2 linked regions of the Arabidopsis thaliana genome follow. The protein of the gene in region 1 purifies or fractionates together with the protein of each later gene. This does not show direct contact. Each region holds a gene or a part of one and is shown on either strand. Other genes may lie near its edges.

Region 1 (7,542 bases):
AACAGCACCTGAACCAACCTGGTTCTATACAATAACAGGCTGTTCCTGGAGTGGCATTAATCTTAGCAACAGTCAATAGCTTCTCAAATAACTCGAGTTCTCCTTTCTCACTGTAAGATGTCAGTAAACTGCTCATGTCTACCCAACAATACAACCCACCACCACTCTCAGCACATGGTATTCCTAATTGTTTCAAACCTTCCACAAACCGAATATGCTTATCCCGGATCCTTTGCCTGTGTGCTGCCATGTATCCCTCAATGAATCTTACATCAGATAGTAGAGAGATAAGTATCCTTTGAACTAGAACTGGCACTGATGAAAATCTCATCAGCTTCTTTGCAGCATTTACTACGTCTTCATGAAAGGAGTAGATGACTCCAGCTCTAAAACCAGGAATTGAAAGGTCTTTTGACAAGCCATATATGATATGAACCCTAGTCTTATCAAATTCCCCTGAGCCAGCGATCTCAGCCATGCTAACAAACTCTTTGTCCCCGTAAACAGAACCCGCAAATATTTCATCAGAAATAACATGGATGTTCTTCTCTTGAGCAAATCTCAAAATATCACAAAGCGTCTCCCTTGATAGTATGTTTCCAACAGGATTTGACGGGTTTGAAAAGAGGATGCCAGAAACCTTGCTTCCTCGTTTTCTAGCCTGATTCAAAGCTTGTTCCAGTGCGGAAACCGTTACAGTAAAATTGTCAGAGCTACGGCAGTGTACTGGTATAAGCTCCACTCCTGTCCGGAATTTAATATCCCTATCAAAGCTGCAAAATGAAGTTTCCTTAGTACATCGCATAGGAAGAGAAGACTGGTGTATAAATCAAAAAGTTTCACCACATACTAATGGTCGAGAAGTGTAAACTAAAAATTACCCTGGATAATATGGCGTCGGAATTAGAAAAGCATTTCCATGATCAGCCAAACAGAAGGCCAATACTTCAATAGCAGGAGTCCCACCGGCTGTTATAACCATATTTGAGGGATCAAATGACACATTACCTCCCATTATTCGTGACATGAAATCAGCAAAAGCCTGAAACATGATAGGAATAGAAGAAATTCAATTTCCTTCGCTACATTGTTGGGACAACTAAATCCACAAGTTTGAATACACAAATTTCTGATATATAATCAACATTCCTTTGATCCTATACAAGAACATATATCAATCAAACCACTTCTAATTTCTGATACACGTTTGCAGTCAAATATTTAACTAATAACTGCAAAAAGCTATCCTTCCTCAAAAAATTTGAAGAATAAAAAAGTGAATGGTGTATGCACTTACCACTCTGAGTTCAAGTAATCCTTCAAAAGGTTTATACATGGCGATACTACTAATATCAAATTCACCATCATCAGATTGCATCATTGACTCCATCAAATTCTCTGACATCCATCTCTGTAGCAAGTCAAAGCACAGCTACAGAACTCACAAAAGCAATCCCCATCAGATTAAACCTCATCGCAACAATCACAAAGAGAAGAAATCATCGAGAACTTTTAAAATCTCACCGTACTCTCGGCTAATCCAAGCTGAATAATCCCATCCGTGTTCGTAATCCGATCGTACGGATCCGTTTTGACTCTCTCCAACCCAATGTAATAAGGCGAATCGGAAGGTTTAGCTACAGGAACTGCTCGGGAGGAGACTCGAACTCGTCCGATCGAGTTCCCGCGAGAGAAGAGATTAGTCCGTGAAAAAGTTCTCGGTAAGTCCGTCGGGTCGGAGGGAGGAGGACGGCGTCGTTTAAGGTAGAGCTGGAGAAAGTAGAAGAGACAACAAGGAATGAGAGAGCCGACGAAGAGACCACCACGGCCTTGAATTACTCCACGGAGAGGTACTATCAACCTCATCGGAAAATGCTCCGCCGCGGAGATAGTTGTTGCCTCCGGCGTTGAAGAGAGATTCGAGCCGTTCGTTGAGAGTAACGAAGTTGAAAAAGAGTCGAATAAATACAAAAGTTTTGAGATAAATTGGCAAATTATTTTTCCATATTCGCAATTTGTCTCTACGTTTTAAAAGTTGCTAAATAGTCCTTCTAATATTGGTGAAATTATTTAAAGATCTTCAAAGTTTTGAAAACAACAATCAAAGCCATAATCATGATCCAAAACACAGAAGATGAGCATTTAACCATTACATATATCTGTCAACTGAAAGGTTCTATAACAAATCTAAAATAGAATTCCATATGATAAGAAGAACATGAAAACACAATTAGAAAAGATGATTAATCTTTGAATCGAAAATCTCAGGAAAAAAAATATATCAGACCGCCGGATCAGGGCTGCTGCTATGCCATCCTTTAGTGCAAGGAGGTATTTCCATGAACTCGTCGAACTCCTTCACGTGAACATCGCAACATTTCCACTACACAAAGAAAACAGTGATATTCAATAGAAATTCAAACAGTGAAAGAAAAGGGTCACAAAATGATTGAACAAAGAACGTGTTACCCCTCTCAGTCTGTCGTGGAAGACCGCAGGACCTGGATGATGGCTACATGCAGTCTCATGATTGTCTCTCTCTTTGAATGTTTGGCCACATCCTTTGTTTTTGCAGACTTGCGGTTGATTAATGTCTATCACAGCCTTTTGTACTGGAGGCGCTAAGGGTTCAATTTTTTCTTCTTCTGCTTGTCCCGGTGTGTTCAGGGTCTGCTTGATCTGTTCTTTGGGTTGGGATCCTGTGTGGTAAAGAAGGACACAAAATTAGATAGAAGGTCATGCATGTAACCAATGTGCAACGAGAATTTAAAGACGAGAGAATAAAGATACAAACCATGGTCTGAGCAGAAGAAGCCTTGCCGGCATCTGGAGCAAGAGTCTTTTGTTGCTGCATTGGCATCTGGAGATGAAGTAGGAGCCGCAACAGGATGTTTTGGAACCGATTTGGCCAGAACTGGTTTCTCAGTTGTGTGTTTACCTGTTTTACATCTTCATTGCAAGAAACATCTTCAGTGTTTGCAATCAACTACAATATGTACCATGAAAGACAGAGGAATTATTATGAGGGGGTACAAGGATATTAGTTACCCTGGAATTTCCAAGAACAAACTGAAATCATGACTTCTTTGCTTGCAGCAGCTCCACTCTTTCATTCCGTCGTGAAAAAATGGCTGCAAGTTTGAACTTTGGTAGCTTTAATTCTCTGAGCAAGCGAGTGTGAAACAAAAAAAAAAACATAAAACAGTATTTGAAGAGTAAATTTGACTTACTCCCTGCTTGAACAAAAACCAGTAGTCAGTGCAAAGACCAGCCCCAGCCACACCGGAAAAAGAAAAGATAATAAAAGAAGATGAATTACAATAAAAAGCTCAAAGCAATAGATGAATATGAAAGAAACACTAGTATACAAGGCCAAATGTTAAGATGAATATTGAGATAAAGCCTTCTTTCTATACACAATTGTTCTAATTACACTTCCAGGGACAGTCTTAACGAGCTCTCTCCCTCACATAGCCATAACCGGTGGCAAAAGTTGGAAGCAAACAATTCAAAAGTCGCTGCATGTACGTACACTCTCCCTCACATAGCCATAAACGGTGGCAAAAGATCTAATACTTGGATTATTCAATTTTACGCAATATACTTTTGCTTTCTTCCATCAAGTGTTCTAATAAGCTCACAGTCTCACAGAATTCATAGGTTGCAAGCAAACAACTTAGTTAAAATTTGACAATTAGACAATCAAAGCTGTGTTCAAAGCTTACTTACTTACAACTAAATGAAATCTACATGTAATCAATCAGCTAATCCAAAACCTAATTAAACACTTGCGTAATCATCTTCTCATGATCAAAAATCGAAATTCGTAACCTCACATCATAAAATCAAATTCAAAAGCTACTCTATGGGTTTATCAGAAACTATCGAAGACTTAGAAAAGAAAGAGAAGAATCGATTAAAGATGGGGAGAGAAGAAGACGTACGGAAGCATGAAATTGACAAGAACCTTGAGGATTGTCGTCATCGGTGAACATGGCGTTGCAGCCAATACGTTGGCACTGAAGCTTCTTCGTTGCAGATCCTACTTCCATTATCTCTCTCGTGAATTTGTGAAGAAATCGGACGAATTGAGAAGGTAGGAGTAAAAAGTATTGGGAAATCAAATTAAAGGGCTTTTTCGTCTTTTAGAAAATTTTGACTTTTGAGTTTTGACCGGTAATGAAAACTGATGAGTAAAACGGGCCTCGGCCCAAATAATACCATGCAGAGCGGGCTTGGTCCGCTTGGACATTATTTTCATGTCCATAAAATAGCATGCGTGATGGATAATAAGCCAATATGTTACAGATTACAGGTTTTTAAAGAGTTTTATCCACGGATTTGTAGGTCTAACCCACAAGAGGAAAAATATGTTGAATGATGGGAGTGTTATTTTATAGACCTAAGCAAGTGATTTAAATGTCGGACCTATTTTGATGTTTTTGCAAAGTTTGTGCAAAACTAATCTTAATTATTTTGTTTTTCTATTTGTATATATTTCCGTCTCCAAGTTTGCTTGTATGGCCTATCCCCAAACTTCATCTACTACGTGGAAAGCCATGACTCCGGAAAATTCAATCTCCGTAATGGTGATAAGAATGGTAGATTTGCTATTTAACCAGCTGATACAGGAAACTCAACAATCTCACAAATGAAATCGAACTATAGATTGAAACGATGTTCATAAAACGCAGATTCACTTCTCACTATGCAAAAATCTCACATTAAGATTTGCCCGTAAATAAATAATATTAGTGAATTGAAGGAAGTATCTCAAACTAACAATGAGTAACAACCCCAAACACACAAGAAAGGAAGAAGAAGAAAAGTTTACAATTCTCAGATTTTTGCATAATGAAGAAGACGATGAACAACTTGATCTTAAGCTTGAGCAACTTCAGCTCATACCAATCGAATCCACGTATCTTTTCTTATTTCAACCAATCACTAAGCTCCACGTGTCCTCATATATGTGCTACTAAATTCCTATTTCACCAGCCTCTTACTTCATTCCACCTCAATCCTTTTCTATACTTTGATGTCATTGTTCTTCTAAGGAGGGTTCTTTTTTGTTATTTTTGTTGTGCATTGCAATGGATTTATACCTCTAAATTCATCTAGTTGTTGCTCGCACTTTAGATATGTGGAGTTTGAGCACACAATTATAGAACTCTGTGGTTTCTATTGAGATTCTTATTTGTGATGAACATTAAAGAAACAACAGCATATAAGGCTAATATCGTTACAACGTTTACACCAAGTAAAACAAGCTATAAGCGCTTGAACTACACAAGAAGGTAGTGAATACTAAATATATACGATATTACAAAAAATAAAGAGTTAAGAAAATACAAAAAGCAAGTCTTGGATCTGATTTGGTCAGTTTCAAATGTTTTTTCTGCCTCCTAGTTGAGTATATCGGATCAAAATCTGTTTTTTCTTCTTAAATCTTCAGTCAATGTACAAAAGAGAGATCACTTGGTTCTGTTATGTACTTCTATCAATGATGCTTTCTCCTGCAAACTCTACAAACAAAACTCTCAGTCACGACCTCACAAGTCAGTTTCCTATAATCAATACATCTATTTTCATTTTTATGTCATGTCTTATCTCAGTTCTTAAATATAAATAGATCTGGAAAAGAGAATGACCTCGTTCGGAGAACTGTTCTCAGAAGGGAACCATCGAAGCAGGACACCGAGGTTCATTGCACTCGGTATTAACTTGAATAGCAACGGAGTCGTTACCTGTAACAGCATTTTCAGGTAATCAGTTTTGAACTAAATATTATTTTAAGTATGTTCTCTTAGAATGGAAAAGGCTTGTTTGCATATATTAGGTAACTTACGAGACTTAGAGCAGTTGTGCCCAAAAGGAGTAGATACATTTTCCCCTACATTGGTCATTCATATTAATCCCAAAGCCACAAAGTTTAGGAAGAAGAAAATGGTAAAGAGTGTGTTCAACTACAAGGGTAAAAGGGTGTTACCTCGATTACGTGTAGGTTTGACGCTCGGCTTAGAAGAACAAAGGCGAACTCTCCAATCTGAGCAAGCAGTACCCCGACCTATATATAACATTTGTGACAAGAAATTTACGTGATTGGTTTTAATAGTATAATATGTAGAAACTCACAAAAGCTTAAGTAGAGAGACCAAACTCACATGGAAAGATATCCTCATGTTGTACCTAAAAGCCTTAACAACTACTGCTGCAATTGCTGTCTTAATAACTATCACTAGAATCACCGACGCTAGAAGGATATCCACGTGGTTCCATAGAAAGTGAACATTAATGAGCATCCCGATACTAGATAGAAAGAGAGCGGCAAACAGATTACGAATTGGTTCCACCTACATCACAAAGTAAGGGAGATTCCACCACCTTAAGACTTCATTTTGTACCACGTACTCGCAAAGCAAAAGCGACCTGAGTTTAGAATCAATACCTGCTCTAGTGTATGTTGAGCAAATTCAGTCGTAGACAACATAACGCCAGCCACAAATGATCCCAACTCAAGACTAAGACCCAGCTTGTCACTGCACTGAAAAAGTTTTGCGAGGAACCAACACTCTAAGTTAAAAATTGGAAATTACATCAATATGCTATTATACTTAAATACTTCAGTGTCTATTGTAATCATCATTTTTTTCTTCTGTAGTCTATTAGTAAGATGCAAGCTCAGGTAACAATTAACTCAGATGTTATAATACACCAAAAGGGATCAGAAAGCTAAGCAAGCACCAGTATGCAAAGAAATGACAGAATTAGACTTACCCATGCAGATAGTAAGCAGAATGCCACAGCAGCTAACTGGTAAAGTTCATTTGTCTGCATTATATAATGAGAGACATTGGCAATAATTTGGATCCCACTTTAAGAAAGAAATAAAGATAGACAAGTAGTGTATATGAAGATATGACGTCTAAAACGTACTTGAGATGATAATTGAATCATTAGCTTCAGAAAACGAGGTACAAATGACCACGTTAATAGAGATGCCACAGTGAGATATATGGACAATATCAGTAGCCTAAATTAGAAGAAGAAAATGTTTTATGTCAGAGACGGTAATGAGGATATATAAGAGGTTCCTGGACAAACTTCTTACTAGGGAACCACTTACAGCTTTCCCATTGATATAATTCCTTGTAGTAAACCACTGTTACCACCCAAAACTGGAAGCAAGGCGAATAGTAAACCAACAACACAGTCCTGAAAATTCAAGATTAAGCTAAAGGAAACAAAAATTTCGTAAAACGAAATATTCAATTTGTAAATATAGAGTGATGTGAGTGAAACCTGAAAGATAAGTATCCCTATAGTAACTTGACCATGAAGAGAACTTGTACTGTTCCGTTCTACCAAAAACTTTACCACCTGGTCAAATTGACATGTGGATTAGAAACAGAAACTCTGAGATGAAACCGGAAAGAGAGTAGCTTTTGTATTAAACTTGAGAAGACAAAAGAAAAGAAAAATACCACTGCAGTTGATGACATAGATAAAAAGGCACCAACAAAAATACCCTCTGACAACCTT
Region 2 (9,353 bases), on another chromosome or scaffold:
ATGTCAATTTGGGCTCATGTTAACGATAAGAAAGTTTCCACATGGGGTAAGTTTTATGTAACAAGACGTGGAAGGCAAGAATATACTTCCTTCCCGAGGCAAAAATCCCGCTATGAGAATGTTCAATGACATTCTTATATGGACAATGGACTCTGGTGTGGACTTTACTGCGCCAGCATTTATTGATATGTCAAGAAGATGAGACAGTTGTCTTCTCGAACTTGGAGGATTATCCAATCCTTAGAACTAGAAGTGCCAATCTTGATTCCATTTATCTTAATATCGAATCAGCTCTCCATAAAATGGTACCACAATAGAGATGACTTGTCCCGGGCCAGAATCCAATATACCATCCTGAAGGTGAATCCCTCTTAACTAACAAGACTCTTCTCGTTTCTACTTATATATGTTTGTAGTAATACTCTAGGTCTCTTGTTTATCTATAGTTTCACCTCGTGATGATTCGTGTGTTTGGAGGATGTCTGTCGAGATTGTTTCTTTCGCATCAGTGAGATTTCCCATGCATTTTAACATGAATCTATACCTCTGTTAGGGATATGATTGATGTGGCTGCTCTAGTACTAGTGCTGCGGTAAGTTTTGGATTGTTTGTGATTTTTGGCCTTCCCCATTTGCTCTGATGGATAATTTATCGTGTAAAAATTAACCAAAATCGATAAGATAATAAGATGATAATTTTTTAAAAATCCCTATGTAAAAATATGGTCCCAATAATATCATAAATTAATAATCATAAATCTAAGCATAGATTCTAACACTAATTTTATATGAAACTTTTATTCAAGTCACAATTACAACTCTCTTTAGAGTACCGTTGGTATGATCTCTTTTGTACTCACGTAACTCTTTGCGCATTTTATCCGTCATATTTGGTTTTGTAACATTTTTTAATCATTGGTAAGATTTGGATAAAGAAAATTTGGATTAAGCCTCACGTTAACGTCGTAAATATACGGACACAATATATTGTAGAAAAATAAATTAAAAAGTCAAGAGAAAAATAATTTTTTTAACAGAATTGAATATACAAACAACAAAACATAAGAAAAACTAAATTAATAAACATTTTTAAAAGACTTTAGTATTGTATTTTACGTAAATATTTCTATAAATTAATATTTATTATTTTATCCTATAAATTAATAAATATTAATTTATAGGATAAATTAATATCACTATAAATTAATTAAATTTTATGGTCCCAACATTATTAATTTATAGAGTTTCTACTGTATTTATAGAGGATGCGAGTTAGGTAATTTATTTTTCTAATAGGATTTTGATGGTTTTACAGTGTTACAATTTTACTATTAGGAAAAGTAAAGTTTCTTTTTTTTCTTAATTTCCTTTTTATTTTATGAAAGTATAATTATCTCAACGGAAATTAATTAGTTTTTTTTCTAATTGTTTGGTTAACGATTGTTCCAACATTATAAAAATCCAAAATTTATGTAACCAGAATTTTCTTATATTTATACATTTTCTATACATCAAACAAGTAAAAATCAGAATTGCTCTACTAAAGTATTACCAAATAAATAATACTAGGATTAAACTTGCGGTTTACCGCGGGAGATTTTTTTATTTGTACAGTTGTCAAAATAGTATTAGAATTATATAATTTAGTTTAACTCGTGTTACGTCCAAATTAGTATTGTAATTATAAATTTAGATATGTCCAAGGTCATTAACAATTCCATTTTACTCATTCTCTATCAAATAAATACAAATTCTAACCCATTATTGCAGGTCGGTATTTGATTTAAATTTTGACCAAGAAATTTTCCATCAAATGATTGATTTGGAAATCATTTTGATTTGGAAAGTTTTAATGGACCGTTAAGATTATTAGTTTAAATAATATCCGGAAAATGTGTGATTGTACCATATTTTGATATATCGAATATTGATTTTTAAATATAATTTATTCCATATGCATAATTATGAATTATTGTAAATTCTAATCCGCTCCACTAATTAATTCGCGAGCTCTTAATATTGTTTGCCAACATAATATTTTTAATAAAAAATATGTAAAATTAATAACTATATTTTTGGTTTATTTTAGATTGATTTTTTATATTTAGTTTTTTTAAATCTTTGAAAAAACAATAAATAGGTGATAAGTATTGAATATAGTGTGTTTAAGAAATATTATTTAAATTTGAAATATAGTGTATTTAAGGAATATAGAGTGATGACCAAATTACCATAGACGATTTTGATTAATAATGTACAAAATCCAAAATTGAAAATTGATGGCAGATTAGACTATTTTTCAATTTGTATTTTCTTTTTAATAATAAGAGGATGTAAATTCAGAATATTTAATACAACTCAAATGCAAATATTTTTCAAATATTCGTAAATATTTTTGTTAAAAGCTTTTTTTGTGTAAATTCTCTAAAATTATTTTAATTATCAAAAAAAAACTACAAATACTGTATTGGATAAATCTCGTTCACGCGTGATTTAATTATGGGCTTTCATTAGGCCCATGATACTGCTAATGGAAAGATAAAGCGTTCTGTCAAAAAAAAATCACTGCAAACAAAAGAAGGTAAAAAAGGATCAATCTTGCCAAGGATCACTCTCTGCCCTCACTTCAGATGGTTCAACTACCTCTGTTTCTCCGCTTTTGTCATCTCCTTCATTCACAGTCGAGCTTTCTTCTTCTTCTTCAACTCTGCCCCATCTTCCTCCAACCGCCATTGCCATCATCTCATATATCTTGTTCCCGAGCTCGGCCGGGCTATCAGGCTGTACAACAAACACATATAAGTGAGTAAAATGGTCCAAGACTTTTACTGGGAAACAAGAAAGGTTTCAGATTTCTTACAGTGAATCCACTTGATATTATAGCAGTGTCATACAAGAGATCGACCACTCTTGTTGCTTCAGTGCTCTCTGGTGCATTCTTACAAGCAGCCTGTACCAAAAGAATACAAAAATTAATAAGGCTTTTTCGAGACAAGAGATTTCTGAGAGAATATTATACCACACACTTACGTTCAAGTCTTTGATGATGGGATGATCTGGATTGATCTCTAGTATTCTCCTACCTCTCATGAACTCCAGGCTTGAAGTGTCTCCAAGAGCCTGTGCCTTCATTAGCCTTTCACAATGAATAAGCACATAAGTCAATGAACAAGCACATAAGTTTTATGGTATGTGGATTTCAGGTTATAAAGCTTTTGCTGAAGTACTAACCTTTCCATATTAGCTGACCACCCGAATTTGCCAGAGACAAGCACACAAGGAGAAGAGCTCAAACGGTTTGAGACTTGGACTTTTGCAACTTTGTCACCGAGCTGCTGTTTTATCCAGTCACAGAGAAGGTTAAACTCTTGTTTCGCTTCCCTGTCCTTTACTTCATCTTCATCTCCTGCGAGAATGGACACGTTTTGTTACAAACAAATGGTTGAGAGAAATGTGCGGGCAGTCAGCAGTGCTAAACCATACTTACCGAGTTCCAAATCTTCTTTACTGATATCAACGAATTTCTTTTCTTTGTAGGTTTGCAAATTCTGAATAGCAACTTCATCGATTGGTTCAACCAAATATAGAACCTATAATTAACAAAAGCAAGTGGTGAGAAAGTCAAATCTAAACAGAAACTCGAAGTTGAAAAACAAGTCTTGAAGCATATACCTCGATATCTTTTTGGATTAGTTTCTCCAAGAAAGGGGCAGACTTGGCACTTTTAAGACTATCAGTTGCGAGGTAGTAGATCGCCTTTTGGTTCTCTCCCATGTTCTCGATATAATCATCCAAGCTTGTCAATTCCTCTTCATTCTTGGAACTGAAGAATCTAAGTAGCGGTGTGATACGCTTGTGGTTACCGGTGTCTTCAATACAACCCAATTTAAGGAATCTACCAAAGTTCTCCCAGAATTTCTTGTAATCCTAGAATTGTTTGTACAACATGAATATCCCTGGCTTTCAAATGAGCTCAAAACAAAATTAGGATAATGAGATACCTACCTCTTTGTTTTCACTCTCAGAGATTTCTTGTATCATGTCAAAGGTTTTTCTAATGAGCCTCTTTCTCATGATTCTTACCTGAACATTATCACGAAAGATAGTACAGTTACAATTTGTGATATTCATATATGATAAACATTTGTATCACTAACAGTTGCACCACTCACAATTCTGCTTTCTTGGAGAATTTCACGAGAAACATTAAGAGGAAGATCATCAGAGTCCACAACTCCCTTCACAAAGCTCAGATATCTCGGGAACTGCAAACAGATTAGGTAACATAGTCAGATAAAAATTGAACCACAAATCTAAAGAGATTTCTACATAAGAAAGAACCCATAAAAGACTCACAAGCTCTCCATCAAAATCGTCAGAGATAAACACACGCTTCACGTAGAGACGAATGTTCTTTGTTTTCGGGTTTGTAACATCTTCATTGTTAAGAGGACCCATCCCAGGGATGTACAAAATGCTCCTGAACTCAACCTCACCCTTTAATAATCAAGACAATACAGAGACTAGTAAGCACCAATTGAAGAATTCATAAATTGACATAAATATAGTGTATAGTGTATAAGTATAAAGACCTCAGTTGTGAAGTGTGTGTGAGCAAGTGGATCCAAGAACTCATTGAAAGCCTTTTTGTAGAACTCATTGTACTCTCCTTTTTCCACTTCCTTCGAATTGCGCATCTATTCAAAGACACAAAATAATCAGTAAACATGTTGAAAGAAAAGTACAAAACGCAGGCTAAAGCTCCAAGGCTTACCCATAGCGGTTTGGTCTCGTTGGCTAGTTCCCAATCCCAATACTTCTCAGTTTTAGTGGTCTTCTTTTTCTTTGGCTCACCCTGGAAACAAACAAGTAACAAAATCAACTCAGTAAACAAAATTCTAGAACAGTCTTTTGGTTGTGACTGTTTGATAGTTGATACACACAATTAAAACAACATAATTTTTTTACCTCTTCTCCTTCCTTAACTGGTTCGTCCTCTTCGACCTACCACAAGTTACAAATTTTAAACCATATTAGCAATGTGAATACACTAATATGATTACAAAAACAAAACTTTCATCCTCACCTCTATAGTCCTTGATTTCTCCTGCCATGTATAGATAGGAAACCCAACGAACTGAGAGTAATTCTTCACGAGGTTCTTGATCCTTGTAGACTCCGCAAATTCGTATTTATCATCCTCCTGCAGCCAGGAATAAGCAGTCAAACAAACTATAAGAGATCTGACGCATCAAATGAAAGGATGAATGAATAAAGAAAAGTACCCTCAGATACAAGGTGATTTGTGTTCCACGACGTAGAATGTTATCAGGGTCTGTTTCTTCTCTGATCAGATACGAGCTACTATCGGCAACCGATTCCCAAACATATTGCTTGTCAGATTTGGGGCTTTTGGTGGACACAACAACCTGAAAGCAAAGACAATTGTACGTCCATTCCTCGTAAGAAATACATTAACCAGAAGACACTAAAAAACAAAAGTTGAAAGTCTTCACCTTCTCAGCAACTAAGAAAGCAGAGTAAAACCCAACACCAAACTGTCCGATCAAACCGTTGTCAGCACCAAGGTCCTTGTTTTCCTGAATAAAGAGAGCAATAAAACAATGAGTCCGAAAACATGACATCAAAGATTTGCTAGCAACAGGTTTTCAAAGAGATGGAAAAAAAACCTTTAGAGCCTTCAAGAATTTCGAAGTACCACTTTGAGCAATAGTTCCAAGGCAATCAATAAGTTCTTCCTTTGTCATTCCAATACCAGTATCACTGCATATACGCATCAAACCTCTCTAAGTAAACCTGTTCTATTCAATTTTCAATACTTAAGTAAAACAAAAAATGAGAAGTCTCTCATACGTTATGGTGATGGTGCCGTTATCAGGATCAGGCTTAATCCTAATCTCAAGATCTCCACCATCTCCAAGCAAAGAAGGCTCTGTTACACTCAAGAACCTCAGCTTATCCAAAGCATCACTTGCATTACTGAACATACACAGACACATTCAAAATCAGATTTTGACAGAAACACACAAATCATTTCCAAAACAATCCATCAAAATTGACTCACCTTACAAGCTCCCTGAGAAACACCTCCTTGTGACTGTATAAGCTATGAACAATCAAATCCAACAATCTACTAACCTGTGATAAGATTTCAACAATCAAATCTTAAAACTTTATATCCCCATCAAGTTGAGAGATACCCAGAAAACAAGATTGAAACTTTAGGAGATATGAAAGAGAACCCACCTCAGCTTGGTACTCAAACTTCTCACCTGACCCTTCTTCAGTGGTCTCTTTCTCCGCCACGGCGGCGTCACACTTCACGGCGAATCGGTTACATCTCTTTTCGAGATTCCAGCTACACGAAACGCCGGTTCTTAAAGCGCCGCCGTGTGGGAGAAACGAGCTTCTCAGATGAGAGAGACGAGAAGAGACAGGAGTGATTGGAACTGAAGTCAAAGGAGATGTGTAGAGACTTCTACTCAAAGCAGGAGCCATTAGATTTGAAAGTTGTGAAGGAAAAGATTTGAGATTTTTTTACAATCTCTCAATCTCTAAAGAGAAAAGAGTTTGTAGTAGTTGAACAAAGAGTAACCTAAAAACCCTATTAAAGGTTTAAGGAGAGTGAGGTAAGAGAGGTTTCTAGAAGAAGAGCGTATAAAGAGAAGAGATGTTTAGAGATTGTGAGGTCTACGAGAAGCCATTTCATCAAAACCGTAGGATTATCCGTTTGATTTACACGCGCCTCTCCTTGAGAAATTGTAGCTGACACACACACACACACCAAATGCAAACCAAATTGAAAAAACACCTTATTGGGCCTACACGTTAACCCATAATGGGCCTATAGCCCGTATAAAGTAAAACGAAAGGTTATGGCTGGAAAATGTTTCGTATCAAATTGGCCCATATCAAGAAAGAGATCTTGAATATTTGTTTTTTTTTTTTTTTTTCGTAAATTATATATATGAAAGTTGGCCAACTCTCTTCATATGATAGACACATCATCACTTTAGCATTTGACATGTGTTTATTAAATAATTAATGTAATCTCTTCAATTTCAAATCTATAGTTTAATGATATATTTATATTTAATTTTACATATTATTTTATTATACATATTTAATTGTACTTTTACTAAATTTATTTTAATATCACATGATTTTTTAATAAAATCATTTTAATAGTTTTCTCATACTCGAAGATTTTTATGGTAATCCAAACTCAAAGTATGAGTATATTACTTAATAATTTAACTAAGTTATTCTCTTAAATTGATGTTTATATTCTCTTAAATTGATGTTTATATTCTCTTAAATTGATATTTATATAATAAATAACTGAGGGTGAAGAATATGTAAGGAGCTCCATCATTAAATTCTTAGGTTTATAGAATCCAACACTACCCTCTGTTAAATTGGTTTAAGATAAACATTGTTTAGAAATTATGTGTATGATGCATTGTTGAGAATGTGGTTAGAAAAAAATATTTTAATACTAAATGTAATTGCTTATTGCATGAGTAAATGATAAGATAAATAAAAATTATATTTAAATTAAACAATACAAAAACATCCGAAAAAACCGTGGTGTAGCGCGGATGATCACCTAATATTTCATAAAAATGAAAACATGATAGGTTTACAATCGATGATTTTCAACCTAAGCTAATGGTTCCATGGCAAAAAAAATAAAAACATGGAAGCATAAAAATAACCACATACATAGTGACATATACCAAGATAAAATGATATTAAAATTTTATTGATTTAGAAATTATGAGAAGGTGTGCACTAAATAAAATACAACAATGTTGATGCTAACGAAGATACACGATTGCTAATTATTGGAAATATCGAAACCATACGTTATAGACTCCATACCCATAACTAAATTAACCAAAACATATATAGTTACCAACTTCTCACTGTCCTCTACTTATTTTGCAACTTTTCCTTTTTTTATTACGACTATAATACAGTATGTGGGTATTGGGTATAACCTAAAAACAAAATATTTGCAATTTGGTCAAAAATTTGCAATTTCTTTTAAGAATAATAAAATGATGCAAATGATGTTTATTTGTCCTATTTTTGGATCCAAGGCAGGTATTTATGAATGGTCTACTGAACAAAAGTAATATCTGATGGAGAGCGGAAGCTAAATAACGGACGAAAACACAAAATCTCTATGAGAACTCGGATTAACGAACGGATTTTGTTTAGAACGCCGAAACTTGATGAAGAAGCAATAGAGATAAGGTCGAGATCGATAACGATATCGATGAGGTTTTGCAAATCCTCCTTGCAGGGCTTGAACACAAGCTTTTAGGGTTGAGAGTCCTCCTCTCTAGGCTTTAGACAAGCTCTCTTAAAACTCGTTTATTCAATAATCAAAAACTAATTACAATAATGAATTACATCTCTTAAAATAAGAGAAAAAGAATGGAAACCCTAGCCTAAAGAATAAGCAAACTAATATCAAATATTCAAAGCCCAAATATACATTAATTAAGTCCATATGAAACTAAACCCAAAAGTAAAGCAATAAACAATCTCCTCGGACGTGATGAATACCGGAGGAGCATTTGTCTTCAAGATACGCTGCATCAATATCAGAACAAGGTAAAAAAAGTTTTGGAAGTGTTTGAATTATAATGTTCAATAACAGATATTTACCCCCAAAAAAAAGAATAAGAACAGAAAAAAAAGACTATGTAAAATTTTTTTTTTTACATCTTTGTATCGACAAGACCCGATCAATACTCAATCCCTACTATGCGGGATTGCGGGATAACGCAACTTAGTGAAATCGAATTCCGGTGGAGAAGGCGGAATCAAATGGTTAAGTCCATTTGACTAAAAGCACATCCTCGTATGTAAGATATCTAGAGAATTCAAATTGGTAAATAAAAAACCACTTAATTTTGATAATTATATAGGCTTGTATTGGGTATAATTGAATATCTCTCTCTATATAATAAAAGTTAGTAACACAGAAAACAGAAAAGAATATTTATTTATATAATATATATATATATATATATATGAATATACGATATAATGATTATATAGAAGTCTTGAATATTAAAAAGAGTGTGGTTCATCGTAAGCCGGTGTGGAGGTAGACAAGCACAAAGCACGCAAATTTATGAATTACAATTTACGTAATGTTGTTTTCTTGTTTACAAATACCAATTTTTAACGGACCACAATTCAGTCTCCATCCTTCGATGTTTAGAGATTTTTAGACGCAACAAAAAAAAATTGATCAAACTTTAAATCTCTTAAATTATAAATCAAAGTTTAGAATAAAACGGATCTCTTAGATTT

Evidence for each region.
Region 2: the proteins of PBS2 (region 1) and CR88 purify together in Arabidopsis thaliana (affinity purification with western blotting, with the first as the bait; one study listed by BioGRID). This does not show direct contact.

What each region holds. Positions count from the first base shown.
Region 1 is NC_003076.8:20,999,092-21,006,633, forward strand, and holds PBS2 (cysteine and histidine-rich domain-containing protein RAR1), read right to left. Parts: upstream 4,196-7,542; 5' UTR 4,053-4,195; coding exon 3,945-4,052; exon of another isoform or gene 3,234-3,944; coding exon 3,231-3,233; intron 3,132-3,230; coding exon 3,049-3,131; intron 2,950-3,048; coding exon 2,795-2,949; intron 2,700-2,794; coding exon 2,470-2,699; intron 2,384-2,469; coding exon 2,282-2,383; 3' UTR 2,053-2,281; downstream 1-2,052. Other genes in the region: ACS12 (1-amino-cyclopropane-1-carboxylate synthase 12), read right to left, coding at 1-773, 882-1,042, 1,298-1,432, 1,525-1,866; KEA5 (K+ efflux antiporter 5), read right to left, coding at 5,475-5,525, 5,652-5,747, 5,849-5,893, 5,990-6,067, 6,165-6,353, 6,449-6,544, 6,778-6,831, 6,937-7,033 and 3 more.
Region 2 is NC_003071.7:1,279,148-1,288,500, reverse strand, and holds CR88 (Chaperone protein htpG family protein), read right to left. Parts: upstream 6,748-9,353; 5' UTR 6,519-6,747; coding exon 6,267-6,518; intron 6,159-6,266; coding exon 6,085-6,158; intron 6,000-6,084; coding exon 5,874-5,999; intron 5,784-5,873; coding exon 5,690-5,783; intron 5,600-5,689; coding exon 5,516-5,599; intron 5,429-5,515; coding exon 5,285-5,428; intron 5,203-5,284; coding exon 5,086-5,202; intron 5,004-5,085; coding exon 4,968-5,003; intron 4,855-4,967; coding exon 4,774-4,854; intron 4,697-4,773; coding exon 4,592-4,696; intron 4,497-4,591; coding exon 4,356-4,496; intron 4,265-4,355; coding exon 4,172-4,264; intron 4,083-4,171; coding exon 4,005-4,082; intron 3,927-4,004; coding exon 3,672-3,926; intron 3,590-3,671; coding exon 3,487-3,589; intron 3,406-3,486; coding exon 3,231-3,405; intron 3,136-3,230; coding exon 3,030-3,135; intron 2,950-3,029; coding exon 2,860-2,949; intron 2,781-2,859; coding exon 2,592-2,780; 3' UTR 2,357-2,591; and 1 more. UniProt on the Arabidopsis thaliana protein: Molecular chaperone required for chloroplast biogenesis. Essential for chloroplast biogenesis and maintenance, and thus for embryogenesis. May be involved in the disassembly of VIPP1 for thylakoid membrane formation and/or maintenance.